Tamandua tetradactyla: one gene and its partner. The protein of the gene in region 1 interacts with the protein of each later gene in a biochemical or structural test. Links are inferred from orthologs where the notes say so. Each region holds a gene or a part of one and is shown on either strand. Other genes may lie near its edges.

Region 1 (16,655 bases):
TTATCTGGAACTGAAATTTACTGTAGTGTATAATCTAATTCAACCTATCTGCATAGCTCATTTGAACAACTGAAACACAGGCAGCACAAAATAAGAAAGAGGTCCTTTAATCCTGCATAGATTACTGTAATGCCTGGAAACATTCTAGAATATATTAAGCAGATAATCAGAAAGTATTGGCAAAGTCCCCTGAGCAAGGGGAGAAAGAATATTGAACTATTAAACCTTACCATCAGGGATCTCCTGATACTGCGTCAAACTTTAGGGACACCCATATCAATAGGCCATGCCCTCGATCATGAAGCTTACTCTTATGAAACTTATGTAGGTAGTGGAGAAGCTTAACTACCTATAGGCATGCCTAAGAGTTACTTCTGGAGGACCTCTTTTGTTGCTCAGATGTTACCTCAGTCTGTCTAAACCCAACTCTGCAAGTGAAATCACTGCCCTCCCCCCTACGTGGGACTAGACATCCAGGGTTGAAAGTCTCCTTGGTGACATGGGAGAGGACTTCCAGGGATGAATCCAGGCCTGGCACTATGGGATCAACAATTACATTCTGACCAAAAGGGGGAAAAAGGTATAATTAATAAATTATCACTGGCAGAGAGAGTTCAAATAGAGCTGAGGGGCTACTCTGGGGGTTGCCCTTACACAAGCTTCAGGTAGACCTTGCTACCTATCATAACCTGCCAACCCCCAACCAGGATCATTCCAGCCAATCTTAACACCTAGGGCAATACATAAGACTCCACAATGGTTCTATGAATTGGGGTAACTTTCCAGAAACTGACAACCTCCAGATGGGTCCCTGGTCCAGATAAGTCCTGAAATCTAGCCTAGCCTCTTCAGAAAATCAGATAGTTCCAAGTCCCTACCCCATATTAGTGACAGACCCTAACACCCCTAAAGAGAGGTATGGAAAGATCAAAGGTGACGGTGGAGTTATACAGAGAAGACAGGATTTAACAAATGAATATGAATGCTGAATCATTAAATTGATATCTCTTTTAGTCTCCAGTATTTTGGATTCAGCTAGAAGTAAAAACCCAAAATTGTGAAATTGTAACCCATGTCAAACTCTGAAATATGTTGCACAACTAATTGTGGTGTTGTGCTTTGAGATGTATAGTTTTTTGTATGTATGTTATTTTTCACAAAAAGAAGGAAAAAGTCAATCATGATGATAAAAAATACTTAAACCCTTTAGCCTCCTGTATTCTGGAGCTACTAGAGGGAAAAAATACGAGAGGATCATATGGTAGTCCATGACAAACTCTGATCTGTCCTGTAACCACCTGTTGAAGAGTGCTTTGAAAACTACTGCTTTTTTATTTCTTTGCTTTGTATATATATTATACTATACAATAAAAAAGTTAAAAAAAAAAAAGCAGTAACTGATGGAGAAGTGGACCATTCACAAAAATGTGGAAATTAAATAGCACATTCTTCAGCAACCAATGGGTGAAGGAAGAAAGGACAAGAGAGATTAGAAAGTTATCTTGAGGCAAATGAAAATACAACATAGAAACACTTGTGGGATATAGTAGAGTCAGTCCTGAGAGAGAAATTCATAGCTCTAAAGACTTATGTTGATAAAGAAGATCTCAAAACAGAAATCTAACCTTACAACTAGAAGACAGAAAAAGGGAGTAAATTAAACTAAAGTGAGCAGAGGAAAGAAACAAAGTTTAGAGTAGCAATAAATGAAATAATCAACAAAGAAACTATAGAGAGGATCAAGAAAACTAAAAGTTGGTTCTTTGAAAAGATCAGTAAAATCAACAAATCCTTAGCTAGAAAAGAAAGAAAAAAGGAGAAAGGATGCAAATAACTAAAATCAGAAGTGAAAGAGGGTACATTACTTCTGATTCCAGAGAAATAAAGAGGAGTATAAAAGGATATTTCCAAGGACAGCCGTATGCCAAAAAATAGATAGCCTAGATGAAAGAAATTCCTAGAAACAAACTTATATTGACAGAAGAAGAAACAGAAGATCTCAACAGACAAGCAACAGGAATATTAAGTCAGTAATCAAAAGCCTCCCAACAACAACAAAAAAGCCCAGGAGGAGATGGATTCACTAGTGAATTTTATTACTAAACATTTCAAGAATTAACACCAATCGTACTTAAACTCTTCCAAAATATTGAAGAGGAGGGACCACTTCCCATCTCATTCTTTGAGGCCAACACCATCCTAACACCAAAGCTATATAAAGATACCACAAGAAAGAAAATCACAGACCAACTTTCCCTATGAATACATCTGCAAAAATCCTCAACAAAATACTAGCAAGCTGACTCCAACAGATTAAAAAAATTATATACCGTGATTAAGAGGAATTTATCCCAGAAATGTAAGGGTGGTTCAACATAAGAAAACCAATTAATGTAATAATGAACTACTAGAATGAAGGAAAAAAAAACACAAGATCACCTCAGTTGATAAAGAAAAGTTATCTGACAAAACCCAGTATCCCTTATTCATAAAAACATTCAAAAACTAGGACTAGAAGGAAACTTTCTCAACATGATTAAGGGAATGTAGAAAAAAATCACACTAACATCATATGCAATGGTAAAAGACTGAAAGCTTTTAGGAACAAGATAAAGACATTGCTGTCACCACTGTTACTGAACATTGCATTGGAAATTCTAAGTAGAACAATTAGGCAAGAAAAGAAAGAACAGATAAATGGGACCTCATCAAAATTAAAAACTTGTGTCCATCAAAGAACTTCATCACAGTGGTAAAAAGAAGCCTACAGAATGGGAGTAAATGTTGGGAAACCACTTATCCAATAATGGTTTGGATATATATAATATAAAGAATTCTTACAACTTAAAAATAAATATATATAATATAAAGATTTTTTACAACTTAAAAATAAAAAGACAACCCAATTAAAAATGGGCAAAAGACTTGACTAGACATCTTTCCAAACAAGATTACAAATGGCCACAAAGCACATGAAAAGATGCTCAACATCATTAGCCATTAAGGAAATGCAAATGAAAACCACCATGAGATACCATTTCATACCCATTAGAAAGGCTACTACTAAAAAAAGAAAATAAATATTGAAGAGGATGTGAAAATTAGGAACACTCATTCATTGCTGGTGGGAATGTAAAGTGCTGCAGCCGCTGGACAGTTTGTCAGTTCTTAACAAAATTAAATACAGAATCACCATAACGCCTGGCAATCCTACTTCTAGCTTTGTACTCAAAAGAACTGAAAGGAGGAACTGAGTCAGATATTTGTGATGTCGATGTCAGCATTATTCACAACTGCCAAAAGATGGCAACCCAAGTGTCCATCAACAGATGAATGGATAAGCAAAATGTGGTATATACATATAGTGGAATATTATCCAATCATGAAAAGGATCAAAGTTCTGATACATGTGACAACATGTATGAACTTTAAAGATATCATGTTGAATGAATAGCCAAACCAAAAAAGGACAAGTATTGTATGACCTCACTGATATGAAATAATTAGATAAATTCGTAGAGTCAGAAACTAGAACAGACAAGAATATAGGTTACCAGTGGCCCCAATAGGGGTAGGAAATGAGGAATTCATGCTTACTTGGGAGAAAATTTTTGCTTGGGGTGATGCATAAGTTTTGGTAAAGGATGGTGGTGATGGTAGCACAACACTGTGAACGTAATTAATGGCACTGTATTATATATTTAATAAGGCTAAATGGGGGAAATTTTAGGTTGTATATATATTACTAGAAAACTGCAAAAAAATCATAGGACTGTAAAACACAAACAGCGAACTCATGTAAACTACAGACTATAGTTAATAGTACAATTATAACACTACTCTTTCATAAATTGTAACAAAGGTTCCACACTAATGCAAAGCATTAGCATCAGGGAAAACTGTGTGGGGGTGGGGTTAGAGGGCAGTATATGAGAACTCTATGCTCTGTATGGTTTTTCTGTAAACATACATCTCCTCTAATAAAAAATGTTAAAAACTAAAACTCAACATATGCATACCCTACATTCTAGCACTTTTCCTCCTAGTTACATAATGCAACAGAAATGCACATATTTCTGTTGCACATAAATATACATTTACCAAAAGACATTGTATAACACTGTCAATAGAAACTCTACTCATAATGGCTGCCATTATGAGAGCTTCATCAAAGTAGAAAGAATAAAATACATTTACAAAGGAATACTATACATCCACAAGAATGAATTAACTATACCAATGTTAAATAAAAGAAGACATGTTCAAAAGAGTACACACTGTATGATTCTATTCACATAAGCTCAAAAATAAGTGAAACCGGTGATGGTGGCAAAACATTGTGAATTTAATTAATACCACTGACTTGTATATTTGAAAGTAGTTAAAATGGGAAATTGTATGTCGTATATATGTTACTTCAATACAAACTAAAAAACAAAATCAAAAACATAAAAAACAGGCAAAAATAATCCATGATGTTAGAATTTAGGACAGTGGTAACCCTCGCAGCGGAGGGTGTGGAGGGAAAGTCAGTGCCTGGAAGAGGTACAAGAGGAGCTGCTAGGTTGCAGGTAAATGATCTAAGTGTTGTTTATACATGAATGTTCACTTTGTGAAAAAACTCAGATTTGTGTACTCCTATATGTGTTACAGTTAATTAAAAAAAAAGTCCAAACAACAACAAAAAAGGCTCTGGTAAGAAACAGCTATTTTACACGTCAAGAACTACTTAAACTGGTGACCAGCAATGGATTTTCTGGGAACAATATTAAAACTAATCTTCTGTCCTGCTGACAGGCCACATGCCTCATAGTTTGGGTTTCTCAAACTATGGTCATCATACTAATATCACAGATTTAATGACAGTAAAATATCTGATCAAAAAAATCTATATTAAAATTATCTTTAAAATATGAAAAATGAGCATTTAAAAGTAAACTTTGTCTAATAAAACTGTATAGCTATAGGAAATAATATCAGCAAGTCCTGTACTTCTACTATGATTTAATGGAAGGAAAAATGATTCAAAGCACAGACTGTCCAGCCCAAATCTGAAATTGCTTTTTAAGTCATAAAATGAATCAAAGTCTATATGGACCGAAAAATATCATACAATGGTGTCACCCAAGATGGTGTATTTTCCCCAAGAAACTATTCCCAGCCTCCTCTTTATGAATCATCAGTCATTATTAAGCTTTAACCAAAATCAAACAGAACTCTGATTTGCTAGAATAAGTATTTCAATCCCATGATTTCAGGCTCAGACTTTATTGTCTTGTGATGACAGAATCAGAAATTGAGCAAACTGAATCTCCACTTCTACCAAATATCTTACAACAACACAAAAAGGAACTGCAATCAAATCACTTCCCCCCAAAAGATTTCAAGATCAACGTGAAACTAGTTCAAACACCCAGTGATACTACTAACCAAAACAGAAACCAGGCAAAAATCTAAGGGTGCCTCAGAAATGGATGAATCAAAGGCAAGTAATCAATCCAGCAGCAGTTCTTCACCTCCTCTTAGTGTCCCTCACTCATTACAAGATTCAGCAAACAATGGTCAACACTCCTATAGCACTGACTTTATGCCAGACAGCATGCTAAGCACTCATAAATTTGAGGTAGACACCTTATCTTCATGCTATGGAAGAAGAAACTATCACAGAGATAAGTAACTTGCTGAGGATCACACAGATAGTAGCTGTGGGTTCACAACCAGGCCAGTGGATTCAGTTTGTGCCATTACCACAACAAGTCACTTACTTATATGGAATTTGGTTCTTCCTAAACCTCAAAAATTCTAAAGATGGCATAACAAATATCACTATGTCAATGTTCAGCATCTTTTTACTATCTTTAAATATGCCTTCAACAAGTCTGGTTATCACTCCCAGTTCACATTACATTAAAAGTTACCAAAATCAGATGGCACAGTGACCACATCAAGAGTAGTCAGCAAAGGAAGCAATAAGAAAAATGACAGAAGGCAGTCTCCAGAACTAAAACCAAACACCCCAGCCAGCAGTTAGCAGCCATTTAGTATTAGGATTTAAGATAGGGGTCAGCAAACTACAGCCCACATGCCAATTTCGAACCATGCTAGTAGCTAAGAATTGTTTTCACATTTTTTAATGGTTGGAAACAAAACAGAACAATGAAGACTATGCTATGGAGACCCTACATGATCTATAAGGCCTAAACTACTGCTTACTTTAAATAAACAGCATCATACACATCTAATGCTGAAAGAACTTTCTTGGTTCATTAAATATTTATTGAGTGCCTACTATGTGACAGCCACACAGTTATTGAGTTTACATTCTACTGAATATTCAAAATGACAACTTTGAAAATTGGGAAGCCAATGCTCCAAGTGAAAGTTGTTGCAAGGCCCTTTGAAGGCAGGTATCCCTGCCTACACAACTTCAAGGCTAAAAGTGACTCTCTGGCTCTTCAAACCCAGGACCTAGCAAGGGTTAAAGGGAGTGGGGGGTTGGGGGGAGGAAGGGAATACCCTGGAAAATGGCATATAAAGCACATACATTGCCAGAAAAGTCCGTGTATGGGATTAATGATGGGCCTTATGGTTGGAGGTACTTTCCACACTCTTAAAACATGCCTGAAAAACTTTAAGAGCCTTCATTCGCTAAGCATATATAAATGGATGCGGGGAAACGTATGTGTTGGTAGTTGGGCAGGGAGCCTACTTTTTAAATCTGTACACTGCTAATAGTTGAGGGTGGACTTCTTTTAGGGAAGATTAGGCTAGTGCCCAGCTTCTTTTGGTCCCATGGTTCAGTAGTAAACATAACAGAAATCTATCCAAAGTAGTAACAATCAATATTGTTTAAAATACACTGTTTAATTCTCATGCAGCAGTGTGTGAAAACGCTTAAAATATTACATATCGAAACATCTTGATGCTCCACCAAACCCTTTGAAAATTAACAAAAATACGCACAGGCAGGGTTCTCTTCACATAAATCTCCTTAACCAAGTAACTGAATTCCTCTGGTGTAAGATTCATAACTCATTTCAACCAAGTCAAAAGATCAACAGTAACTATACCTATGAGTCCTTTCTCCCCAACATATAAAAATGTCAACTCGAGTTTCAAAACTTTCTGAAATGTGTTCTATAAAACATAGCATCCCATATGTCACTATGCTTCTTGTCTTTGTCATGTATGTGCATATGTGTGTATTTTTAAATGTCTTGCATAAGTGAACATTTACAAGTATTTAATAAAACAAAAACCCTATGTTCCTATAAATAACATCTTCACCAGTAACCCTTTTCAAACATGAAACTGTTATGAAACAAGTTATCATTTGCAAAAGTTGTCCTGAGGAAGGTTTCACTCATACCCGAATGAACTGATAATTGTATGTGAGCAAAGATGAGATTCTGTTATCACAATACAAACAAAATTTTAAGACCAGGTACATAAATGTAAAAACCCTAAATGAAAAGATCTTAAAAAAATTTTTTTTAAAGAAACGAGTTTCTCCACATGCCACAAACAATAACTTCAAGTGGGTGGTCATTTAAGAATCAAAGCGAGAATAGGCTAGGCAGACCACCACAACGAAATTATTCCAGTCCACTTCTATCATCTAGTAACAAAGCGGGCTTCCTAAACAGGAAAGATGGGAGTACACAAAGAAACCAAACCCAAACATCCTGTAACAAAAATTCTTGTGACGAGGAGGGAGTACGGGGCTTCCTCCTTTACTTCTTTAAGTGTCAAACCCTACATATGGACGAGTCAAGGTCCTTGCGCTTGGGAAGCTCATGGACCTAAAGCGGGAGAAAGACTTGAAGCCCAAGGATCTAAGTGTTTGGGAAAGTCTAAAACAGGACTGAGGAGTCTAGAGAAGAAAAAGTTAATTCTGCCAGGACTAGGAGTGAGTTGGAGTTGGGAAGGGTCAGGGAGGTTTCGCGAGGAGAATGTAGCTAGAATCTGGGAGTGGGCGACAGGGTGTGGAGAATGAATTTTCGAAAAGGTTACGCAAACTGGCGGAGAAATGCAGAAGCCAATCCATTCGGTGCCATCCCTAACTCGTGCTCCGAAGTGCCCCGGGCCCTGCTTTCACTCCCTCCCGGATACCCGGAAGTCCCGGGTTCTGGGCTCCTGGGTATCCCGGGGCAGGGGCCTCTGGGGTTAAGAGTGGGGCAGGAAAGCTCCCCTCCCAGCGCGGAGGAGGCGGGCGGCTCGGGAGCGGCCCCTCGCCCCGTAAAGCCGGGACGACGGCGACTCAGGTCCCACCCAGCCCAGCCTTCCGGAAGACGGCAATATTACATTCCAAGCTCGCCACCGCGCCGCAGGCAGCGCCCCACCGAATGCGGACACTCACTTTCTCGTGGAAGATGGACTCCATGTTTATTTGTCCAGAGCCAACGGCCCCCGTACCGAACCAGCCCCCTCCAGCCCCGCCCCTGGCCCCACCCCTCCGCCCACCCCGCTCCGCCTTGTTCTCCCCCTGTTCACGTGTCTGGCACAGACCAATCATCTCCTGGAATGCAAGTCACGTGGAGCGCAGAGCGTGTGAACACCGGGCGGTAAACGTGAGGACACGTGATCTTTGTGCACAGCTTTCCATCTCCTGATAGCTGGTTGGCTCGTATTAGTGCAGCGCCCCCTGCCGTCTGGAGGATCCTCTTCCTTTTCCACCCTTGCTGTTGGATTTTAAGCCATCTGGATAAGGCTCTGGATAAGGACCATTGGGTTTTATGGTCTTTTTTCCTTTTCACTTTACTGTGTGCTTTTCATATATTATATTTTTCATATAAATATTTAATATCTAACGGCCTCTTCCACTTAAAACCTCAGAGAAAAGGCATCATTGTATCATTTTTGTGTAAAAAAAATAGTTAATATTTATGTAGTGCTTACTATGGGCTAGACATTAGTACCAGCCTTCCGTATATCAACAAATTGAATATGGCAAGCTTTAATGTAGGTATTAGTATCATCCCTATTTCACTTGTGAGAAAAGTGCAGCCCAGAGGGGTTAAGAATAGCACAGTGTCCAAAGTTAACTAGTAAGTTGCCATGCCAGGGTTCAAATCCAGGCAGCTTGTACTAGTGAAAGTACTCTGTCCCTGAAGACGAAGTATCATTTGGGGTCAACTAATAAGTTCAGTAAAGTGTTGGTGGTTGATGAAGCTGAAGGGATAGGTTAGGAGCAAATCTTACATATTGAAACTAGGTTAAGAAAGGTGTACCTTTTAAGGTTAATGGTGAACTAAACAAAGTATTTTAAAGAGAAAGAGACATATCCAGGTTTATTTTTCAGATAGATCATTGTAGTCCCAGAAGAGAGCAGTTGCTGGTGAAGGAATCTTGGACTCGATGATGATGGTGACCTGGACTAGGATAGTGGCTTGGAGATGGAGTGAGGCCATTCAGAGTGATAATTAAGAAATAGGGACACTCAAAATAATTCGGTTAGGGAGTGGGGAGAAAGATATGGAAGACTCAGAGAACACTCCTGGGTATCTGCTTTATTTCCTTAGCTATTCAAGTAAATACCATGCAATGGTGTTTTAGTTTGTTAATGCTGCCAGAAATGTACTATACCAGAAATGGGGTGGCAGGGATGACATTCGGGGTTTCTCTGCCAGCTGGGAAGGCACATGGCAATGGCTGCTAGCTTTTTCTCCGGGCTTCTAGTTTCAAACAGCTTTCGGGGGGGGGGGGGGGTGTTTCTTTCTTCATCTCCAAAAGTGTCTGTGTCAGCTTTGAGAATTACCAAAATGGGACCTTCTTAAAGGACTGCAGTAAACAGATTAAGACCCACCTTGAATGAGCAGAGATATATTTCCATGGAACCCATCTAATCAAAAGGTCCCACCCACAATTGGTCTGCCTCCACCAGATTGGACTAGGAAAAAGAAAATGGCTTTTCTAGGGTACACAATAACCTCAAACCAGCACAAATGGTTTGGCTTATACAATGGGAATATATGAACTATGTAAATTAGTGATATTTTCCTAGTTATCACTCTGAATGGCCTCACTCCATCTCCAATTTTAAGGCTAAGAAAAAGTTCAAATGAAGGCATTATTGAGGTGATGCTTTCGTCCCAGAGACTGGCATTCTGTGGCTGGCTGCCAGTGATCCTTGGTTCTGGCTTTTCTGTTGTGTGGCAATGCAATAGCTGCCAGTCCTGGCTCTCCCTTCTCTTCTGGGTTCCGTTAAACTTCAGCTTCTTGTTTCCCGTGGCTTTCTCTCTTTCTGTCTGACTTTTGTTCTGCTTATAAAGAACTCCAGTAACAGGATTAAGAACATCCTGATTGAGTTGGCCACATTTTAACTGATGGACCCTCATCAGAATATCCCACTTTTAATGGGTTCACACTCACCAAGAATGGGTTAAGTTTAAGAACATGTGTTTTGTGTTGTGTTTTTTTTTTCCTGGGGTACGTACAGCTCCAAACCACTGTACTATCCTAGGCAGCCACTTGGGAAAGAGTGTTATTTATTGATATAAAGAATACTGGAGAAGGAGCAATGTTTTGGGAAAAGAAGAATGTGAAAAGTTTAAATCTTTGTGATGTTTAATTTGAAATATCTGTAAGACATTCAAGTAAGTGGTGATGATTAGTGTCTGGGTCTGGAGATCATGAGGCTGGTTTGTGCTGTAGAACCAGGGAGTCACATAAAAAAGGTAGCTGAAACTATTGAAGTGAATAAGATCATCTTGAGGAAAGGAAAACATAGAGAAGAGAATCTAAAAGAAACCTAAGGATAGAGAAGGAGCAACCACGGAGGAGGGAGGAAAAGCAGAGCATACTATTATGGAAGCCCTGGAAAGAGAACGTGTTTCAAGGAGCAACCCGGCGTCAGTTGCTGCAAAGAGGTCAAGCCACATAAGGATTTACAAAAAAACACACTAGGTTTTGTTGCCATGGAATCTATTGGTGACATTGGAGAGTGCAGGTTCATTCAGAAGAGCAGAAGGGGCAGCGGGAGATAGGAAATGGGGACTGCTGGTGAGGACCAGGTTTTCAAGACCATTTATTGAACATCTCTGTGTCCACAGCATACAGTTCTTGTATTATGGAAACAGTACAGATTAGGAACTGTGGCCTAATTAGGGATTGACAAATCACAGTCTCATTGAGTGAAAAACAATCTGTTTAAGAAAAAAATGTGTGTCCCTGGGAGAAAATACAAATTTATTTTTTGTGCATGTACATTACAAATTGTTGGAAGACTATAAAGGAAACCTAGAGGTACATGTGTGAAATGGGAAGGGAACTAGACAAACTGGAGACAGGGGTGGGAGGGAGACTTCACTGTATACAATTTAACTCTTGATTTGACTTATATTAATGTATTATTTGGAAAAATACATGCAATTAATCTGTTACTAGGATATAAACTCTCCAAAAGGATTTTATTTTGTTCAGCGTTAAATCCCCAGCCCCTAGAACAGTGTTTGGCAAAACAGGCACTAAATATTGAATTAATGTTAATTTCATTAGGCCTTCTTGCCTGATTGAGGAAGTCAGTAATAATAAGCATTATAAAGTGAAAAAATCAATGCCTGAAGTCAGAATGTAGGCTCTGGAGCTTCAGGGGCAATTGACATTGCCCCTGAAGCTATATATGACTTAGGTATTAGATTTTCTGAATTACATATTCTGATTAATAACTCAACTAGAAATTCAGCATGTCTTCAACTTTATCCAATTTTGTAAGATAACTCGCCCTGCAAAACTCAATGATCACCTTCTCAGGAAGTCTTCCCTGATCTCCTACTTATTTACACATCCTAATCCCGCCTCTGAGTTCCTGTATGTGTCTCTATCATACATAGTACCATTTATATAATATCATAATGGTTGGTTTAATCAACTCTATAAACGTCTTGATGGCAGGGCTTATGTCTTAATTGACTTTCTATCTCTAGTGTTTTTTATGTCTGTTGAATGAATTAATGCTGGCAAGTATCTGGAGTCGCTCTTTATTCTTTCCTCCTCAACTCTTCCACATCAGTCATTATTTTAATTAGCCTCAAATATTGCCCATTCTCAACTAGCTCTCTTCCATCTGTTTTCTTTGCTAATGCTTAGTTCGAGCCATCTTGGTATCTTGGGTACTACAGGCCAAGGAATTCTGAATTGGTTTTCTGACTCCAATCTCAACATTGATTCATACTGCTGTCAGTAAACTTTCTAAGATGCAAATCTTTGTTAACAAAGAGAATGTTATTATGCATCAGGCACTGGGACTTGAATGACCAAAAAAAGTCCTAACACTTTAGGAGGGATCCTTAAAGAAATAATTTCACAAATGTTCTTTTGCTATTTAAAATCTTACAGTGGCTACCCCCTGCCTTGGACAAAGTTTTGCTCGCTTACAAAGCTCTTTGGATCTGGCTCAAACATATGTCCACCTTTAACTCTCCCAATTCCCTCTTCTCTAGGCACGCGAGATTTGTTGGCAGACCACAACTCAGTCATATTTATTCCTCCATGCATTAAAAAAACACAAACACCACCAGATTTGTTGGCAATCCACAGGTCAGTCATATTTACTCCTCCATGCATTAAAAAAAACACAAACATAAAATTATCCATTAAATCACTTTCTAATATACAATTTAGTAGTATTAATTACATCCACAATGTTGTGCTACATCACCACCATTCATTACAAAATGTTTCATCACCCCAAATAAAATGCTGTACCCAATAAGCATTATTTCCCATTCCTGACCACCCACACACCTACCCCTGGTCATCTATAATCTACTTTCTGTTTCTACCACTTTGCATTTTCTAATATTTCCATATAAATGAAATCATACAGTATTTGTCCTTTTCTGTTTGGCTTATTTCACTCAACATGATTTCTTCAAGTTTCATCCATTTTGTCACATATATCAGAAGTTCATTCCTTCTTTTGGCTGAATAGTATTCCATTGTATGTATATACCATGTTTGTTTATCCATTCATCTGTTGATGGACATTTGAGTTGCTTCTACTTTTTGGCTATTGAGATAAGTACTATCATGAATATTGATCATCGTGGAAACCCAGGGCACATGCTTCCCTTCCATATTGAGAATAAGTTACCGCACATAGCTGCCTACAATGACCAGGACAGAAGTCAACGGTCATCATATCTCCTCAGGGAGGGGGGAGGCAGAATGTACAGATGGTATCAAAAACAAAGCATTAACACTCCATTCCAAACCTTGTGTCTGATGCTCCTTTTAGCTACTATATCAACAGAAGAGTAGAACATATGGAATAAAAATAAATAATAGGGGGAACAAATGTTAAAATAAATTTAGTTTGAAATGCTAGTGGTAAATGAAAGTGAGGGGTAAGGGGTATGGTATGTATAATCTTTTTTTCTCTATTATCGTTTTATTTCTTTTTCTGTTGTCTTTTTCTTTTTCTAAATCGATGCAAATGTTCTAAGAAATGATGAATATGCAACTGTGTGATGATATTAAGAATTACTGATTGTATATGTAGAATGGAATGATATCTTAATGTTTTGTTTGTTAATTTGTTTAATTAATAAAAAAAGTTAAAATTAAAAAAAAAACTCCATTCCATTGATCACTGTTGATAACAAACCTCCAAACTCCTGTATCACAAGACCCTGCTGAAACTGTTCTCACATCCTTGTCCTAAACCATTATAAGCCTTTACATTCTCCCACCCTGCTTTGTGGAGAATTAACTCCCATTTATCAACTGGTCACCATTGAGAAGAATCTTCTGTTTCTAAGTCCCAATAAAATTCATGTCTAACTCTATGCCTGATGTGTTTGATGTGTTCTCTGGTCTTGGGGTTGTGTTGACCCTAGCTCTTTGAGAGCTGGGTTGGGACAATTGATGGGCCAGCCAGGAGACCAAAGAGCTACTTGCAACAGCAGGCACGAGTCTTTGGAAGGGAGAATCAGTGGGAGAAATCCCAAATTGGCCTGTATAGTCCATGTGCAGAGGGGTGGCTGCCCTCTAGATGAATGGGAACCACCACAAGAGTATGGGGAAGTCCTGAAAACTCCAGTGGGGTTGCTAACTGTTTTGCAGCAGATAGTAGGACAACTAAATTTGAGTGAGAAAAAAAGGAGACCGAGAAACACCATCAGCCATAACATGGCCCCTGCTTGGATGACTAACAAGGCAGTACATGTGACAAAAGCTACTGTGCTCCATTCAGAGGAGCTTAAAGTAATGCCATCTTTGTATGCAGTATTCTGAAGATTGCCTCTATACTACAAGGAATTAGCGCTCAATTATGTTGTTATCACTTTGTTTTAGATTTAACTAATGCCTTCTTTAGTATTCCCTTTAAGGCCAACTTGCTTTTACCTTCACCTGGGAAGGAGAACAAAAAGCAAATTTCACCATGCTCCCACAAGGCTATTTACATAGCTTGACCATCTGCCACAGTCTCCTGTGGGTGGTGGTGGTGAAAAAATGTACAGATAATATTGTAAACAAAGCATTAATCTCTCCCCACTTTGAACACTGTTGGTAACCTCTAACCCCCTGTGTCACAAGACCCTGCTGAAATTCTGTTTTCACGCCCTTGTTCTAAATCTTCCTCACCCCTTTTGCAGAGCACTAACTTCCATTTCCCAACCAGCTACCATCGGAAAGAATCTTCTGTTCAAAGTCCTGATAAAACTCATGTCTAACTCTGTGCCTGACATGTCCTTTGATTTTCAGGCTGCCCCAACCCAAGTCCTCCAAGAGTTAGACTGTAACAATGGTCAACTATCTATTCATGTTCTTGCATTCAATTCTTGTGGGTATATACCAAAAAGTGGGGTTGCCAGTTATACGGTAATTCTATATTTAACTTTCTAAGGAATTGCCAAACTGTTTTCCATAGTGGTTGCACCATTTTTTATTTATACCAAGTGCATGAAGGTTCCTATTTTTCTGCATCCTCACCAATACTTACTGTTTTCACTTTTCTTAATCATAGCCATTCTATTGTGAAGTGGTATCTCATTGTGGTTTGGATTTGCAGTTCCCTAATAGCTAATGATGTTGAGCATCTATTCATGTGCTTATTAGCCATTTGTATATCTTGTTTGGACAAATGTTTATTCAAATCATTGGATCACTTTTAAATTGCATTTTATTTATTTATTTTTTTGCCTTTCTGATGTTGAGCTGTGGGAGCAGTTTATACATTCGGGATGATAAACCCTTACCAGATATGGTTTCCAAAAATTTCTCCCATTCTGTAGGTTGTCATAATACCCTTTAATATACAAAAATTTTAAATTTATTTTTTATTTTGTTCTCATGCTTTTGGTGCAAAATCTAAGAATCCATTGCCTAATACAAGGTTCCGAAGATATTCCCCCATATTTTCTTCTCATATTTTTCAGTTTTAGTTCTTATATTTATCAAATTATATTTTAGTTATTATTTGATCATTTTGAGTTAATTTTTGTGCCTGGTGCGAGGTAGGACTCTACCATCATTCTTTTGCATATAGGTATACATATTCTCCCAGCACCATTTTTTGAAGAGACTATTCTTTCCCCATTGAGTAGACTTAGCATTCCTGTAAAAAAATCAGTTGACCACAGTTTATTTCTGAATTCTCAGTTCTTTTGCACTGGCCTATGTCTCTGTCCTCATGACAGTACCACACTGCCTTGATTACTGTAGATTTCTAATAAGTTTTGAAATCAGGAAGTGTGAGTCTTCTAATTTTTTTCTTCTTTTTCAAGATGGATTGGCTATTTGTGGTCCCTTGCAATTCCATATGAACTGGATGACTAACTTTTCCATTTCTGTAAAGAAGGCTGTTGAAATTTTTATTGGAATTATATTGGATTTGTACATGGTTTTGGGTAAATTGACATCTTAATGATACTAATTTTTCCATTCATGAACATAAAATATCCTTCCAGTTATTTATGTCTTCTTTTATTTCTTTCAGTCATGGTTTGTAGTTTTCCATATTAGGGTCCTTTACATTCTTGGCTAAATTTATATCACAAATTTTATTCTTTTAGTTGCTATTGTAAATGTCATATTTTTATTTGCTTTTTGGATTGCTGTTGCTGGTGTACAGAAATCAGCAAAAACTTATTTTTGCATATTGATTTTGTAACTCATCATTTTGCTGAAGTTATTAGGGCTAGAGGCTTTCTTGTGGACTCCTTGAGATTTTCTACAGATAGGATCATGTCATCTGTAAAAGGAAAAGTTTTACTTCTTCATTTTCAATGTGGATGTCATTTTTTTTCTTCCCCAATTGTTCTAGTTAGAACTTCCAGTACAATTTTGAATAGTAATGGTGACAGTGAGCATCCTTGTCTTGTTTCTGATCTTAGAGGGAAAGCTTTCAATTTTTCATGATGGATTTTGATGTTAGCTGTGGGTTTTTCATAAATGTCCTTCATGTTATTGAGGAAGTTCCCTTCCATTCCTAGTTTTTGAGTGTTTTTATCAAGAAAGATGCTGAATTTTGTAAACTACCTTTGGTAACTCAGTTGAGCTGACTGTTTTTCCTTCCTCTATTAATGTAGTGTATTACATTGGTTGAGTTTCATGTTGAACTACCCTTGCATTCCTTTTATAAGTCCCACTTGATTGTGGTCTATAATCCTTTCAATGTTCCATTGGATTCAGTTTGCTAGTATAATGTTGAG
Region 2 (16,204 bases), on another chromosome or scaffold:
GGTTTGAATTACTTTTGCTGATGCTTCAAAGCTGAGCTTTCTGGGAAAGTGGGTAGAGTTTGTAGAGTAACCATTGCTGGGCAGCACAGTTGAGGCTGGCAGGGCCTTGAGAAAAATACAAGTCCAAGGATACCACCCACCCAGCTTCACTTGGTGAACTGAGTGAGTCTCGGGGCAGAAAGCCAAGTTGGTACAGAAAGTGCTTTGAGAACTTCACCTCCACATTTCTCAGCACAGCCTTCCGGCAACTTCAAGGGAGCATGGGGTTATGAAAAGAGGGGAGCATGGGGTTATGAAAAGAGGGGAGCATGGGGTTATGAAAAGAGGGGAGCATGGGGTTATGAAAAGAGGGCAGGATTTTTTTTTTTCATGGAATTACAGGGTCACATTTTAATTCCTGAATTTTACAGTTCAGCATTAATATCACCACATGTATACAAATGGTGTAAAACAAGTACAGTGGTATTTTTAATACAGAATAAACATCTGTTTTATGGAAAAACTATACTTCATATCTACACAGACAGCCCATCTTTTCCAAACAATAGCCAAAATGGAAATTAACTACAAAATCTCCAAAACAGGGGAAACTGCTTCAGTTTAAGCTATTCCAGGAAAAATGGACCCATTAACACATTACAAGGGTGATCTAAAGATTGTAGCTGGAATTACTGTCTTTAGCTTTTCTTTTACCAAATTAAATTGTAGTTTGGGGATATTTTTCTCACTTCAGCATGATCTCAGATCGTAGAGAACAAAACTAACATTAAAATACTTACAGTTAACTTGCTATTCTAAAAATAAAACCTCAACTGTTTGCCTCAATTTATTATTTTAAATTCATTACGTACATGGAATGTGCTTTCATTCTTAAAAAAGCAGCTTTCATATTACACCCTTGTTTATTGAAAAGCTTCATTTGCTACATGTTGACTCTGACACTTCGTACTGTTTGGTCCAAAATGGTTTCTAGATATTAAATACCATTTAATTCAGCACTATCTTTGAATGTTAGTCTTTATAAATTAAAACATGCCTGCTGCTCTGGAGAGAGAGAGAATTTTACTAACAAAGCAGAAAGTTATTTCAAAGTGCCTTCCATGAGACTGTACTGGTAGGTAGTTGTAAGCATTTTGTTTTATCCATTATCATGTTTGTAAAGAAATCCTTTTGGAACACTATCGTACTGATTCTTGGCATCTGTTAGCTCTAAAAGTGCTGATTTTAAAATTACGTTTACAGAAATATCCATTTTGAATCCAGCTTGCTTATCTTTGTCAAAACACATACCGAAAATTCTTGGTGTAGAAAACTTAACATGCACTTTAATATAGGGTGTACTTCTCTCCAATACCTACAAGGCTGAATTTCTGTTAAGAGTTTCAAAGAAATGGTCAGAAGGCAGGATTTTAAATCAGATTAGGATTCATTCCTTTGGCAATTTCTACCTGTGTGGATTTATGCGCAACCTCCCCTCTCTGAGCCTCAGTTTTCTTATCTGCATAGTGGGGTGAAAATATTTACTTCAGAACTGAGTTGATTACAGGAGATAATGGGATGAAAAATGCTCCAAGTTATGTACTGTATACAAGCATCAGGCTCTGTTACTATTCCATTTTAGTGATAAAAGACGCTTTAAGACAAAATCCAGCCTCAGGAATGAGGAACAGCTTTGAGTGGTTGAATGCCACATCTCAGGGATCTTCGTGGTCACTTCATTCACCCTCCTTCCTCCTCAGTTTTCGAAGAAACTGAGTGCTGGGAAGTTAAAAGACTTGCCCAAAGTCTCCCGACAAAGCTGACCAACAAAGCTGAGCCTGAGCTTGCATCTCTGGCTCCATGGGCTGGAGGCACTGCCACACCCCTGTCTCTGAAACTTCTGGTCCTCTTAGGACTTGGTGATGGTCACAGTCGGGGTGAGAGTTCAGTAAGCGGCATTTCCAAGTCTGTAATCTAACCAGGATCCTCCGATATAAAAAGGCCAAGAGAACAAAAAAGGCCGACATGGTATAAAACACCTTAAAAATTACAGGCCCGTTACTGAGAAACTTTCAAAAGGCTTACATTTAACCCTATTTTATTTGATTTGGTGCACAAGGAGGGAAATCCGCCCCAGGAACGTAAGCTTTGCTTGTTTCCTCTCCGGATGGCCTGGTAGTATTTAAACAAGACTTACATCAGGCATTCATTACTTGCAATTTGGCTCTGAAGATGTTGTTAAGCTCTGAAGTAGATATTTAGTACAGGTGTGGTGTTTACTACAGGTGTGGCAGTTGCTACATTTGTCTCTGGAGTCTCTAAAGCCCTCCAGGATTGGGTGACGTTTCCATCAACTTCCAGCCCCATTATCTTCCCTCTTCTCTAAACAATGGATTTCCACAGAGCACCCACCTTAGACACCTGGGGACGCCTGGCCTTCTTTCTTTTGGAGGGAGAGGGGGAAATGGGAGACAGAAGGTGGAAATGGGGAGCCATGCTTTCTGCAGGTGAGAACGTGCTCTGGCATCTCAGGAATCTGGGCACTGAACTTAAATCAGCTTGGTTCTGCTGCCCAGTCCTGCGTCATGGTCTCCCTCAGAGGAATTTCCTACCGGGCTCCCATGTACCTGTCCTAATGATTCACATAGCTGCCTGACATCCGTTCGGGGGTGAGAACTTTTCCAGGCCTCCTTCTCAGGAGTCTAGCTCAGGAGCTAAGCACACAAGCCCTGGACCCGCCTGAATGCATCTGCACACCAGGTCCCTACTTCAGGGGACCTTAAGCAAGTTACTAGGACCCCGGAATCTTCATCTATAAAATGGGAATTATCAAAAAACCTTAGCGTTTTCTCAAGTACAGTTTAATTTCCAGCACATAGTAAATGTTCAATCGATATTAGTTGTTATTATGAGTATTAGAATCTCCGCTAGGTAAGTGAGAAAAGGGACTACAAGATGAACTCGTTTGGGGAGCTAGCTGAAACTGGTGGCAGGAAACAAGTTTTTCGTTTACCAGAACAAATAATCTGCTCAAGCAATTACAGACCCATATTTATCATCAACAAAAATAAATCAAGGGTGGATTCTATGAGAATTTTAAATAATAGTCCCAGCCCCCACTGGGACTTCTTTGGTAGCTTTCATACTAAAGTTGGAGGACTATGGGTTCAAATCCACAGACAGCACTATATCCAGAAAAACACATCAGAACTCACCTTCAGAGAGCAAAGTTGTAGACCTTCACACTCAGCTACTCCAGTTAGCTTTACTTAAACATTCCAACTGCCTTTACAAGGAAATACACCGCTTCCTACTGTTGTGAAACCATGGTGAGCTTGTCTTGCAAACACTGAAGACTCTGTGGTAGTTGGACTTCCTCTCAGCAGTGAGCATTAGGGTCTTCTCTTCATTCACACTGAGTCACCTTCCCCTGTCCCTGAACCTCAGAGCACTGGTATCTTAAACCTGTTACTGGCCTGGAGGTGTCCTCCCACCCGGCCCTCGGCCCAGACCCTGACCATTTCACAGGCCACCTGGTGACACTGGCTCCAGAGGATACAGAGACCAATTGGTGGCTGAAATCAGGAGCTCCTCAATTCTTCCGGGGGAGCATCTTTGTAACCCCAGGAACTAGCCCAGTGCTGGGGCCCAGGAGTCCCTCAATCCTGTACATATGCATTGGTGTGCTTGGCATGGGGTTGGGGGTAGAACTGCTACCTTTGGGGACAAGAAATTCCAGGAGCTCAGAAAGCTGGAAATGGAAATCACTAAGCTTCTTCTGAAAGGGAGAGAAGCCACCGTCACTCCCTTCACCCCGGTCTTGTAGACCCAACCCCACAACTTGCTCTGGATGTCACCACTTACCTAAGGCTCCTTGGCAGATGTCTGTACGGGTGGCTCCTTCAACAATGAACTGGGGGTCATCGCAGATCTCCTGGGAACGAGACCAACAGACCTATTAGTCCACCGTGCATGCACATTTGCATTTTGGATGCCTCAGTTCCCCAGAGGTACTTTGGACCGCTTCTCCCCCTTTCCCTCCCCCCTGGGAAATGTCTCCCTCAAGGGAAGCCCCTGTTCTGCTGCCATGGCAGAACCCTGCTCCGGGGGTCCCAATGGGTGTGGGTGGTGGACGCATCTGACTGAGAAGAGCAGTAACCGACCACACACATTCCCACTGCCTAGAGCCTACATCCACCTGCTATTTCCTGGTGGCTGTGGCAGCATCAAGCCCAGTCTCCTCTGACTCTAAGGCCCTCTATAACCTGGAGCCACCCTGTCTGCCATGCTTGTACCCGCTCCTCTGTCCTTGAATGCAAGTATTTTTTTTCTCAATTTTACCAAAGTGTTTAAAAACATGGTAAAATATATATAATATAAAATTTGCCATTTTCACCATTTTTAAGAGTGCACTTTAGTGACAATAACATTTACAATGTTGTGCTACCACCACCACTGTGCATTATAGAAACTTTTTTATCACCCCTAACTGAAACTCTACCTATAAAGCAGTAACTCCCCATTCCTCCATCCTCCCAGCTCCTGGTAACCTCTAATTGACCTTCTATCTTCATGGATTAGCTTATTCTAGATATCTCATAAAAGTGAATTCATCAATATTTGTCCTTTTGTGTCTGGCTTATTTCACTGGCTATGATGTTTTCTGAGTTCATTCAGTTGTACACGGATCAGAACTTCATTTCCTTTTAAAGCTAGATAATATTCTATTGTATGTATATACCATGCTGTATTCATCCATTCATCCATTCATCGATGGTCACGATGTTTTAAACTTGGCCTGTTGTGAATAACGCTGCAGCTGTTTTGCTTGCATGGAACTCCTCCCTTTCCTGCCTTGTTCTCTCCTTTCTCTTATCTTCCCACATTTCAAGGCTCACTCTCACCTCCTCCATGAAGCCTTCCTTCGTAATCTATCCCCACACCCCTCCCCTTGATTCTGATACTCACAGTATTTGTACTCTGCAGTTTAGCACTTAATGGCAGATTGTCTTTTGGTGTTCATGGGTATTACTCTTGTCTTCCTAACACGTACACATTTCTTGAGGGCATGGAAGTGTATCATTAGGAGCCTTCTGAATTCTTCCATGATTTATGGGATGTCCCAATAATACTTGGATCATCCATATGTTAGGTAGTGCTTAGAGATGCTTCTGAAAAGTGACCCTTTTGCACAGTAATACAGCACTGAATTAAACATGGCTGTAGCAATCAGGGGAAGGGTTGAAGGCTTGGGCTTTGGATTCACATATTGTGCTTGATGCTTTATCTAATGCAATTCTTCCAAGAACACAAGATGGGTATTATCCCCATTTTACAGATGAGGGAATGGGTTCAAAGAGGTAAAGAGGTTTTTCTGAAGTTACACAACTCATTATGATAGATGGTGCTTGGTACTGGGATTTGAATTCACCGGTCTTACTCTGATGACACACTCTTCACATCTGCACAGCCACTAATTGATTAGTAACAGGACTCCAAGGGCACTAAAACCCCAGGGACGACCGTACCACAAGTGGCTGGATGAAACCAACCTTGAACACTTCTGGCTCAGACTCTTTCAGTAGCTCTCTGAGTGTGTTTCCTGATTCATAAGAGCTCCACCCCAAAGCCACAGAGGAAGTTGGGGGCATGAATCTGGGTTGTTCTTGGCTTGGACAACCTTGGTTTGTACAAGCTGCTCTTCCATCTCATGCCTGTTTGAGCATCATATGCGGGTGCCTCGGTCCCAATTTCTTGGTTGAGATCTGCTGGATGCAGGCCCTGTCCAAGCTGGCTTGGATTGTAGAGGCTCTTCGTGAGCCACACTCAGTTGCAGAGCAAATGCCTTTAATGCCTCTGCATTGTCTCTATCCCTGCTCAGGTCAATCTGTTTGGGGAATGCCAGGGGCAATGAGAATGCTTTTCTGCGAGCCAAAAGAAACCTGCATTGCCTGAGGCCTGCCAACTGAGCACTTATCTGGCTGCCTAGTGCTAGGAGCCTCTTTATTATGGACACTCATACTGATAATCCTCAATGTGCCAAGCACTTCCCCTGAAGGATTTTTCCATCATGTTTCAGAAACTTTCTCATGCCTCTGGCAGTCTCTCCAAAAAAGTCAAATTTCAGAGTGGTGTTTAGAGATGATCCAGAAAGCCAAAACTTGTGCACAGCATTAGGGCATTGCATTAAACACTGGCTGTAACAGTCAGGGGAAAGAGGTCGGGGGCTTGGGCTTTGGATTCAAACTCACTTCAGATGGGCTCTATGATGCTAGGTAAGAAACTTAGCTTTTTATGCTTTAGTTTCCTCATCTGTAGAATGGAGATGGTGACAAGTATATCTACTGCAGAGGTTTTCAGGGTTATGAAATAAATATGTAAATATGCCTTGGTAAGCACTCTATAAATGTTACCTCCCACCAGCATTATTTTGAAAAAATTTGATGATGATAATCCCTGAGCTTGGAGGCAGGAGATGTTGGTTTGAGGCTGAATTCAACCAGTGCAAAATAAGTGAGTTGTGAATACTTCAGAGGCTTGGTTCCCTCAGGGGGAAGAATGGGGAATAGAAATACCTGCCCTTGCTCTTACCCGACTGTCTGTAGCTGGGAGCTTCTGAGGTGACATCCTCCAATCATGACAGTTCTTTCCTTACTATGCTTCCTGCACCAGCCCTAGGAGCTCACCGTGACTTCAGCCATTTTCTGCTTTATTCCTTTTCCCATTCCTGGAGGCCCTCTCTTGCCAATATTGTAAAATCTTTTGTCTTCTAGCCCTCTGGCCCTGCCCACAGGAGAACCAACCTCTGTTTGAGGAAGAGCAGTCCCTATTCACGCCAAGGCTGACCAGACAGACCCCTGTCCTCCAAGGACCCTATACTCCTATTTCCTCAGGGATCCTGTCTCATGATTACCTCCTTTCTTCTTTATCTTTAATTCCTTCTTCTCTGGTGGCTCAATATAGAGCACATATAAGGTGCTTTCATGTGAAGAAAATACCAGCCTCTCCCACCCTAGGCCCCGCTCTACCCATTCCTGTCTCTCTTCCCTTGTTCCCAGTACCTTTCTCTGGAGTAGATTTACTCCTCCGCCTAATGCAAGCTGGCTTCTACTGCCATCTTTCCCTTGAAATTGCTCTGCTAAAGTCTTGGTAATGGACACATCCAGCTGGAAGTTTTCTTTTTTCTTGCCTGACCACAGTGGAGTCTGACAGTGGTAGGACAGACAGAAGCAGTGAGGGCAACCGTAAAGTTGAGGGCTCAAAACACGCACAGGTTAGAAACTTGGTACCACCATGTATACCTGAAGCTTCAACGCCTTCAACTGCCTCATGAGAATAATAACAGCTACACCTCCCCCTCAGCTGTGTAGTACAGTCTGCCATACTCTAAGTAGCTGCCCTGAAATGAAGAGGTCCCAATCCATAACGTATTACAACCCTCAAGATCTCTATATCCTCATTCAGAAGTCCCACAAGCATCTCCAACTGTTGGGTGACTTGTCTGAATATAACAGTGGGGTGACCTGGGAGGCTCAGGGGAGTAGAAGCAGGGCAGGGATGCTTATTCCTTTAGGAATCTAAAGGTTGGCTTTCCCAGGAAGCCTCATTTAGGGATGGTGGAGGTAGCTTGGTGACATGTCCTATAGGAGAGGGCAGGAGCTAGCAGGGGTTTCTTGGGAAACTAAATGGACATCTAGATTAAGAGGCTGGACATTCAGGTGTAAGGGCTGGAAAAGCTCTCCAGGTGAGGTTTCTGGGGCACTGGAAGGATGATAAACTTGCTCTTTGCAGCATCTCCCAAGTCTTTTGTTAATCACCAATTTAAACATTACAGGCCGTTTTTGCTAAATCCCATTTAGAAAAGTGAACATAAAACTCTGAGTGATACATCTAACCACTTCAACTGTGTGACACAATACTTAGTCACAAAACGAAGTGGGCTCTGGACTTTTCCTGCTCCTGAAGAAGAGATAAGCGGAGGTAGAGACTGACTTTGTCAGAGACTGCCTCTTGCGAACCCCCCAACCCACTTCCCAACATCTTCCCACCAGGGTCCAATAAAACTTATCTCCCCCCTTGTGTCAAAGTTCAAAGGTGGCTCCCCTAGCAGACCTGCAATGGGATTTGAGGACAGAGACCCACCTCGACACGACCCGTCCTGGGTGTTGGGAGTGGAAGAGGGAGCCAAACCCCTCTGAGGACCGCAGAGCGCCGGAGATCCAGGCTACCCTCGGGGCCCAGGGTAACGGGATGGAGGCAGCCCGGGGCGAGTCAGCCGGAAGGCTCACTCTGGTTTGCGACTTTCCCCGGTGCTGCTTTCCGTCCACACCGCGGGGTGCTCCTGGCACCGGGGGGCCCGGGCCCCCTCCCCGCCCTGCACCCGGCCGCGCCCGCGCTCCTACCGTGGGCCTCTTCCACACGATGCCCTGCGTCTTGCTGGAGTAGGGTCCCAGCTCCTTGAAGCCCAGGGAAGACGCGATGGCCGGGAAGGAGGGGTCCTGAAAGAGCGCGCCGGCTTCCAGGCACTCGTCCCGCAGTGCCTCGTAGTCCTGATTGAGGTACTTGATGGCTTTCTCGTGGGAGCCCAGCCCCTCGGCCGCCTCCCGGTCCTTCACCAGTTTGGCTGCGATTCCCGCCATGGCGCTGGTCCCCGGCCCGAGAAGGAGCGAGGGTGGGGGCGTCTGGCTCCCTGCGCGGGTCAGGGGCGCTGACGAGGCCTGGGCGCGCTGCAACGGGACTGCGGGAGCGGCAGCTGCGGAAGATGATTCACCCAGAAGGGGAAACGCTCCCCGCCCGGCCTGGGTGTGGCCTCGGCCGCTCCCGGCCTGCTCGGCGGCGCGGCCCGGGACGCGGCTCCCCCCGGGGCCTGGGGAGGTCCGGCCGGGGACCGCGGCACGCGAGGCCTGTGCTGCCACCTGCCGGCCGCTCCCGGGGCGGCGCGAGGGGCGCGGCGGGGCTGGGCTACTGCGGCTCAATCCAAGACCCGGCTGCCAACTTCCTACTTTCCGGGGAGGAAGGCTGGGAGAAACCCGAGGCTGGGATAATTGTTAACTATCCTGGAAACACCTTATGAGTCAGTAGGAAATTAGGGAGCTAGGATTAGACTAGCTACCATTAATTGGGCTCTGCTTTGTGCCAGACACCGTACTACTGGCTCTAGGCTCTATATATGTTACCTTATTTAATCCTCCCAACACCTCTTTGAAGAAGGTACTGTACTGTCCTCATTTTACAGATGAGAAAACTGAGGATCAGAGAGGTTAAGTGAACGGGGCACGACTAGAAGTCGCGATGCTACACTGTTACTGATCAGCTATAATATCACAAGTGGAGTTGCCATATTTGGCAAATAAAAATACAGGATGCCTAGCTAAATTTGAATTTCAGATAAACAAGGAATACTTTTGTGTATTAAGAATATTGTCCTCCACGTGACTTCCCAGCTGAAAGAGGTGTTCCAGACCAATCCACCTTTCTTGAGTGTAGGTAACCTCTTGTTGGCGCCTTACTTGGACATTTTCACTTCTTTAGAACTGTAAACTTGTAACTTATTAAATTCCCCCTTTATATATATATGTCCTAAATATTGCACAGAAAATACTTATACTAAAAATAATAATAATAATAAAGACCACTCCTTGTTTACCTGAAATTCAAATTTAACCAAGGGTGCTTGTTTTTCATTTTGAACTGTAATCAAGGAGGTTTCATGGTCCTCTAACTCTGGGGCATCTAGCTATGCAATGGCAGGCCAGCTGGGACGGCCTTAGGAGGCTCAGGGTTAGGAAAGAGTTCCAAAGCTAGCAACTTGATTCCTTCATTGATTAGGCATCTTTCAGCGTCTTATTACATGCCAGGCTCTGTTGGAGGTGGGGGTGGAGGTGAGTCTGTGGTTAAAACATAGATGTTGAAGCCAGCCCACCTGGGTTTGAATCCCAACTCTACTATTTAGTAGCTGTGTGTTGTTCTTGGGCAAGTTAGCTAACATTTCGGTGGCTCGGTTTCCCCATTTCTAAAATGAGAACAATAATAGTTGGAGGAATTCATTGAGCATTGAGTTGCTCCTTGGTAGGACACTTAGAACAGTGCCCATGCTAGTTGTTTCTTTAACCGCTCTGTGGGAGAGACAGCATGCGATTCTGTCAGCTCACAGAGAGAAATGGGTTATGTGCTAAAGATGTATGGATTGGAAAAGGTTGCTTCTTCTGGATATAGGGAAGAATTTGTGTTTCAATGGAAAATTGCATTGTCTAGAACAATGGTTCTAACTGGGGGTAATTTTTGCCTCCCACCCCTACCCCAAGGGACATTTGACAATGTCTGGAGACATTTTTTGATTGTCATAGCTTCATGGCTTGAGGGGGTTGGGGTTACTACTGCTCTTTATTGGGTACAAGTCAGAGAAGCTGCTAAACATTTTACACTGTCCAGGACAGTTCCCCATAGCAAAGAATTATTTGGTCCAAAATATCAATAATGCTGATGTTGAGAAACTCTGGTTTAGAACATCTCCTTCCATATTATCTGATTCTATCCTTTCATTGTTTTTTAATTATCTTAAATTCTTAGTTGCAGATAAGTGTAGCAATGTAAAATAATTCTCCTTTTAAGACATGCAAATGAATTCTGCCCAATTATGGAACTACCCTCCCTTTTGTGGGAAAAAGTACACTCATGTATATTTGAACATCCATTTCAATATTCCTTTGCTTCATATATGTTTTTTATTTGTTTTCTTGTATTTTTTTTGTTTTCATATGTTTTTAATAGGCTTTATTTTTTAGAGTAGTTTTAGGTTTACAGAAAATTTAAGTTTAGCAGAAAGTATGGAGAGTTCCCATATGCCTTCTTGCTTTCCATACTTTGTCTTATCATCAACATCTTGCATTAGTGTAGTATATTTGTTATAACTGATGAACCAATATTGATACATTATTATTAACTAAGGTCCGTTAGTCCATTACATTAGGTTTGCCTCATATAGTTCCATGGGTTTTGACAAGTACATGTCATATATCTGCCTTTACAGTATCATACAGAATGTTTTCACTACCCTAAAATGCACCTGTGCTCCACCTACTCATCTTTCTTATCCTTTCCCTGAACACTTGGCAACTACAGATATTTTTACTGTCTTTATAGCTTTGCATTTTCCAGAATGTCATATAGTTGGACTGTACTGTATGTAGCCTTTTTCAGATGGGATTCTTTCACTTAGCAATAAACATTTAAATTTCCTCCACATCTTTTTGTGGATTGATAGCTCATTTGTTTTTATTGCTAAATAATATTCTATTGTATGGATATATCACACTTTGATTATCCATTAACCTTTGGAAGGGCATCTTGATTGCGTCCTATTTTTGGCAATTATGAGTAAAGCTGCTTTTAAACATCCATGTGCAGGTTTTTGTGTGGATATAAGTTTTCAACTCATTTGGATAAATATCTATGAGTGCAATTACTGGGTCATATGGTAAGTTTTTTAAGAAACTGCCTAACTCTCTTCCAAAGTGGCTGTACCATTTTGCATTCACAGCGGCAATGAATGAGAGTTCCTGTTGCTTCATATCTTTGTCAACATTTGGTGTTGTCAGTGTTTAGAATTTTAGTAATTCTAATAGGTGTGTAGTGTCATGTCATTGTTGTTTTAATTTTAATTCCCTAATGACGTGATATTGAACATCTTTTCAAATGCTCATTTTCCACTGTATGTTTTTTTGGTGAGGTGTCTGTTCAAATGTTTTACCCATTTTTAAGTGAGTTGTTTGTTTTCTTATTGTTGAGTTTCGCAAGTTCTTTGTATATTTAAAAAAAATTTTTTATTAATTAAAAAAATTACAAGAAAGAAACACATTCCTAATATATGCTCATTCCATTCTACATGTATAATCAGTAATTCACAATATCATCACATAGTTGCATATTCATCATCATGGTTATTTCTTAGAACATTTGCATCAATTCAGAAAAAGATATAAAAGGACAACAGAAAAATAAAATGAAGACAGAAAAAAAAAATTTTACATACCATACCCCTTACCCCTCCCTTTCATTGATCACTAGCATTTCAAACTGAACTTATTTTAACATTTGTTCCCCCTATTATTTATTTTTATTCCATATGTTCTACTCATCTGTTGACAAGGTAGATAAAAGGAGCATCAGATACAGGGTTTTCACAATCACACAGTCACATTGTGAAAGCTATATCATTATACAATTATTATCAAGAAACATGGCTACTGGAACACAGCTCTACATTTTCAGGCAGTTCCCTCCAGCCTCTCCATTACATCTTGGATAACAAGGTGATATCTACTTAAAATGCGTAAGAATAACATCCAGGATAACCTCTCGACTCTGTTTGGAATCTCTCAGCCATTGACAATTTGTCTCATTTCACTCCTCCCCGTTTTGGTCAAGAGGATTTTCTCAGTCTGTTGATGCTGGGTCTCAGCTCATTCTAGGGTTTTTCTCAATCCCTTGATGCTGAGTCCCAGCTCATTCTCGTATTTCTGTCCCACGTTGCCAGGAAGGTCCACCCCTGGTAGTCATGTCCCACCTATCAGGGGTAGGGTGGTGAGTTTGCTTGTTGTGTTGGCTGGAGAGGCCACATCTGAGCAACAAAAGAGGTTCTCTTGAGGGTGACTCTTAGGCCTAATTTTAAGTAGGCTTGACCTATCCCCTGTGGGGTTAAGTTTCATATGAACAAACCCCAAGACTGGGGGCTCAGCCTATAGCTTTGGTTGTCCACACTGCTTGTGAGAATATCAAGAATTCAACTTGGAGAGGTTGAATTTTCCCCCGTTCTCACCATTCTCCGAAGGGGACTTTGCAAATACTTTTCCACTCACTGATCAAATCACTCTAGGATTCATCTTGGTATCACTCTGGACAAACCAACATCTCATATCCTACCCAAGGTTCCATGTACTTAGGTTGTTCAACCAACTATCTACATAAGTTTTATTAGGAGATGAACTAATCAAAATATAAATTTTGCACCAAATAAACATTTTTTGCTTTAGTCTCACACATAAGTTGAAATTTTAAAATATTAATTACCATCTATTTTCAGCACCCTGCAGTAATGACATTCCTTTGTTCTTCCTCATACAAAAACATTTTTAAAATTTGTACATTTAGTCACTATCATTATACACTCTAGGCATTCCCAGATTATACCACCTCAGTCTATCATCTATCTTTCTTTGTGATTTCATTTATGCCTCAGCCCTCCTCCCTCTATCATTCTCACATTCAGCTTCATTCAGTGTTTTAACATAATTGCATTACAGTTAGGTAATATCGTGCTGTCCATTTCTGAGTTTTTATATTCAGTCCTGTTGCACAATCTGTATCCCTTCAGCTCCAATTACCCAATATCTTACCCTATTTCTATCTCCTCATGGTCTCTGTTACCAACAAAATATTCCAAGTTTATTCACTAATGTCAGTTCATATCAGTGAGACCATACAGTATTTGACCTTTCATTTTTGGCTAATCACACTCAGCATAATGTCCTTAAGGTCCATCCATATTGTTACGTAATTCGTAACTTTACTCTGTCTTACAGCTGCATAATATTCCATCGTATGTATATGCCACAATTTGTTTAGCCACCCATCTGTTGATGGACATTTTGGCTGTTTCCATCTCTTGGTAATTGTTAATAGTGCTGCTATAAACATTGGTGTGTAAATGTCCATTTGTGTCCTTGGCCTCGTGTCCTTTGAGTAGAGACAGCATATAGATGGGTCCTGTTTTGTAATCCATTCTGCCAGGCTTTTGATTGGAGAGTTTAATCCATTAACATTCAGTGTTATTACTGCATGGGTAGTACTTTCTTCTACTATTTTGCCTTCTGGATTTTATATGTCATATCTAATTTTCCTTCTTTTTACCTTTATTCATAGTCTTCCTTTCTATACTCTTCTCCACACCTCTCTCTTATGTCTTTTCATATCTGTCTCTAGTGTTCCCCTTAGTATTTCTTGCAGAGCTGGTCTCTTGGTCACAAATTCTCTCAGTGATTTTTTGTCTGAAAATGTTTTAATTTCTCCCTCATTTTTGAAGGACAGTTTTGCTGGATATAGAATTCTTTGTTGGCAGTTTTTCTCTTTTAATAATTTAAATATATCATCCCACTGTCTTCTCGCCTCCATGGTTTCTGCTGAGAGAGTTACACATAATCTTATTGGGTTTCCCTTGCATGTGATGGATTGCTTTTCTCTTGCTGCTTTCAAGATTCTCTCTTTCTCTTTGACGTCTGACATTCTGATTAGTAAATGTCTTGGAGTATGTCTATTTGGATCTATTCTCTTTGGGGTACCCTGCACTTCTTGGATCTGTAATTTTAAGTCTTTCATAAGAGTTCGGAAATTTTCAGTGATAATTTCCTCCATTAGTTTTTCTCCTCCTTTTCCCTTCTCTTCTCCTTCCGGGACACCCACAACATGTATATTTGTGCGCTTCATATTATTCAATTCCCTGAGTCCCTGCTCATATTTTTCCATTCTTTTCCCTATAGTTTCTGTTTCTTTTTGGATTTCAGATGTTCCATCCTCCAGTTCACTAATCCTAACCTCTGTCTCTTGAAATCTACCATTGTAGGTTTCCATTGTTTTTTTCATCTCTTCTACCATGCCTTTCATTCCCATAAGTTCTGTGATTTGTTTTTTCAGACTTTCGATTTCTTCTTTTTATTCATTTCTTGCCTTCTTTATATCCTCCCTCAATTCATTGATTTGGTTTTTGATGAGGTTTTCCGTGTCTGTTCATATATTCTGAATTAAATGTTTCAGCTCCTGTATCTCATTTGAATTGTTGGTTTGTTTCTTTGACTGGGCCATATCTTCCATTTTCCTAGTGTGATTTGTTATTTTTTGCTGGCATCTAGGCATTTAATTGCCTTAGTTAGTTTATTCTGGAGATTGCTTTCACTTCTTTTATCTAGGGTTTTCTTGTTGGGTGAGTTTGTTGTCTGTCTGTTCTTTGACATTCAGTTCTGCTTCATCTGGACCTCTAGCATAAGTTTTGTTTAACAGAGGAGAATTTTTCAGTTCTTGTTTTCTTGTTTCTTGCCCTGCTTGTATGGTGCCTTCCCCCCACACACACTTAGGAGGGTCTACTTAGGTGTTATAGACCCCAGCCAGATTTTCCCAGACCAAACTGGCCTCCTATCAGGAGGAAAGAGTCACCTGCATCAGTTTTCTCTGAGGGTGAGACCCAGCAGGTTGAAAGACCTTCCTGTGAAGTCTCTGGGCTCTGTTTTTCTTATCCTGCCCAGTATGTGGCACTTGTCTGCCTGCAGGTCCCACCAGCATAAGATGATGCGGCACCTTTAACTTTGGCAGACTCTCCCTGCTGGAGGTGTGGTGGAAACAGAGGAGAGGTTGTAGGCTGGTTTTAATGGCTTCAAATTACCAAGCCCTGGGGTCTGAATTCCTTGAGGGAGGGATTCCTTGGGCTTCACCCCTCCCCTGCGGAAGGCAAAGGCTCCAGACAAGGCCTCAAATGAGCTTGTTTCTGCCTATGCCTGGGGCAGATGCAGCCTGAGGAGCCCTGCCTCTATATCCAAAGGCAGTCAAGCCTTTGTAGAAACACAGCCACAAAAACCTGTTTCCTTCTTTTTTTTCCTTTTTTTGTCAGCCCTGCCCCCTTGGCGCTGGGGCTAAAATGAGCAACCTCAGCTTTGACCAGGTTCACCTGAGCTGGGGGCCTATTTTTAGCTGTCAGAATTTGTTACTTAATTCCACAATTGATGTTTGGTTGGGCTCAGCCCCTGCTGCTGGTAAAGTCTCTTTCCTTTCCCCTCTCGGAAGCAGTCTGTGGGGGAGGGGCGCCGGCTGCCATGCACAGCTTGGGAAGCTCACGGTTCTGGGGGGGGCTTGCAGCCAGTCCAGCTAGTCCATACTGGGGTACGCTGTGTGTCTGGTCACTGACGTGGCCCCAGGAGCTTTCTGTACTGTTTCTGGTTATTTGGTAGTTGTTCTAGGGGACGAACTAAAATGCGCACATTGTTTAGCCACCATCTTGGCCCGGAAGTCAGATATAGAATTCTGTATATTTTTTTTACAGAAGTCCTTTATCAGATATATATTCTACAAATATTTTCTCCCAGTCTCTAGCTTCTCTTTTCTTTGTGTGTACTTTGCAGAGCAGAAGTTTCAAATTTTAATGAAGTCCAACATCAATTTTTTTCTTGCTTTTGGTGTGTAT

Evidence for each region.
Region 2: of the proteins of ATXN3 (region 1) and CAPN2, one has a biochemical effect on the other in vitro, tested with the Homo sapiens proteins (2 studies listed by BioGRID). The link is inferred for Tamandua tetradactyla from reciprocal best matches to the Homo sapiens genes ATXN3 and CAPN2.

Annotation. Positions count from the first base shown.
Region 1 is NC_135338.1:52,940,592-52,957,246, forward strand, and holds the start of ATXN3 (ataxin-3), read right to left. Parts: upstream 8,460-16,655; 5' UTR 8,384-8,459; coding exon 8,360-8,383; intron 1-8,359. UniProt on the Homo sapiens protein: Deubiquitinating enzyme involved in protein homeostasis maintenance, transcription, cytoskeleton regulation, myogenesis and degradation of misfolded chaperone substrates.
Region 2 is NC_135328.1:137,670,031-137,686,234, forward strand, and holds the start of CAPN2 (calpain-2 catalytic subunit), read right to left. Parts: upstream 8,774-16,204; 5' UTR 8,619-8,773; coding exon 8,382-8,618; intron 3,914-8,381; coding exon 3,844-3,913; intron 1-3,843. UniProt on the Homo sapiens protein: Calcium-regulated non-lysosomal thiol-protease which catalyzes limited proteolysis of substrates involved in cytoskeletal remodeling and signal transduction. Proteolytically cleaves MYOC at 'Arg-226'.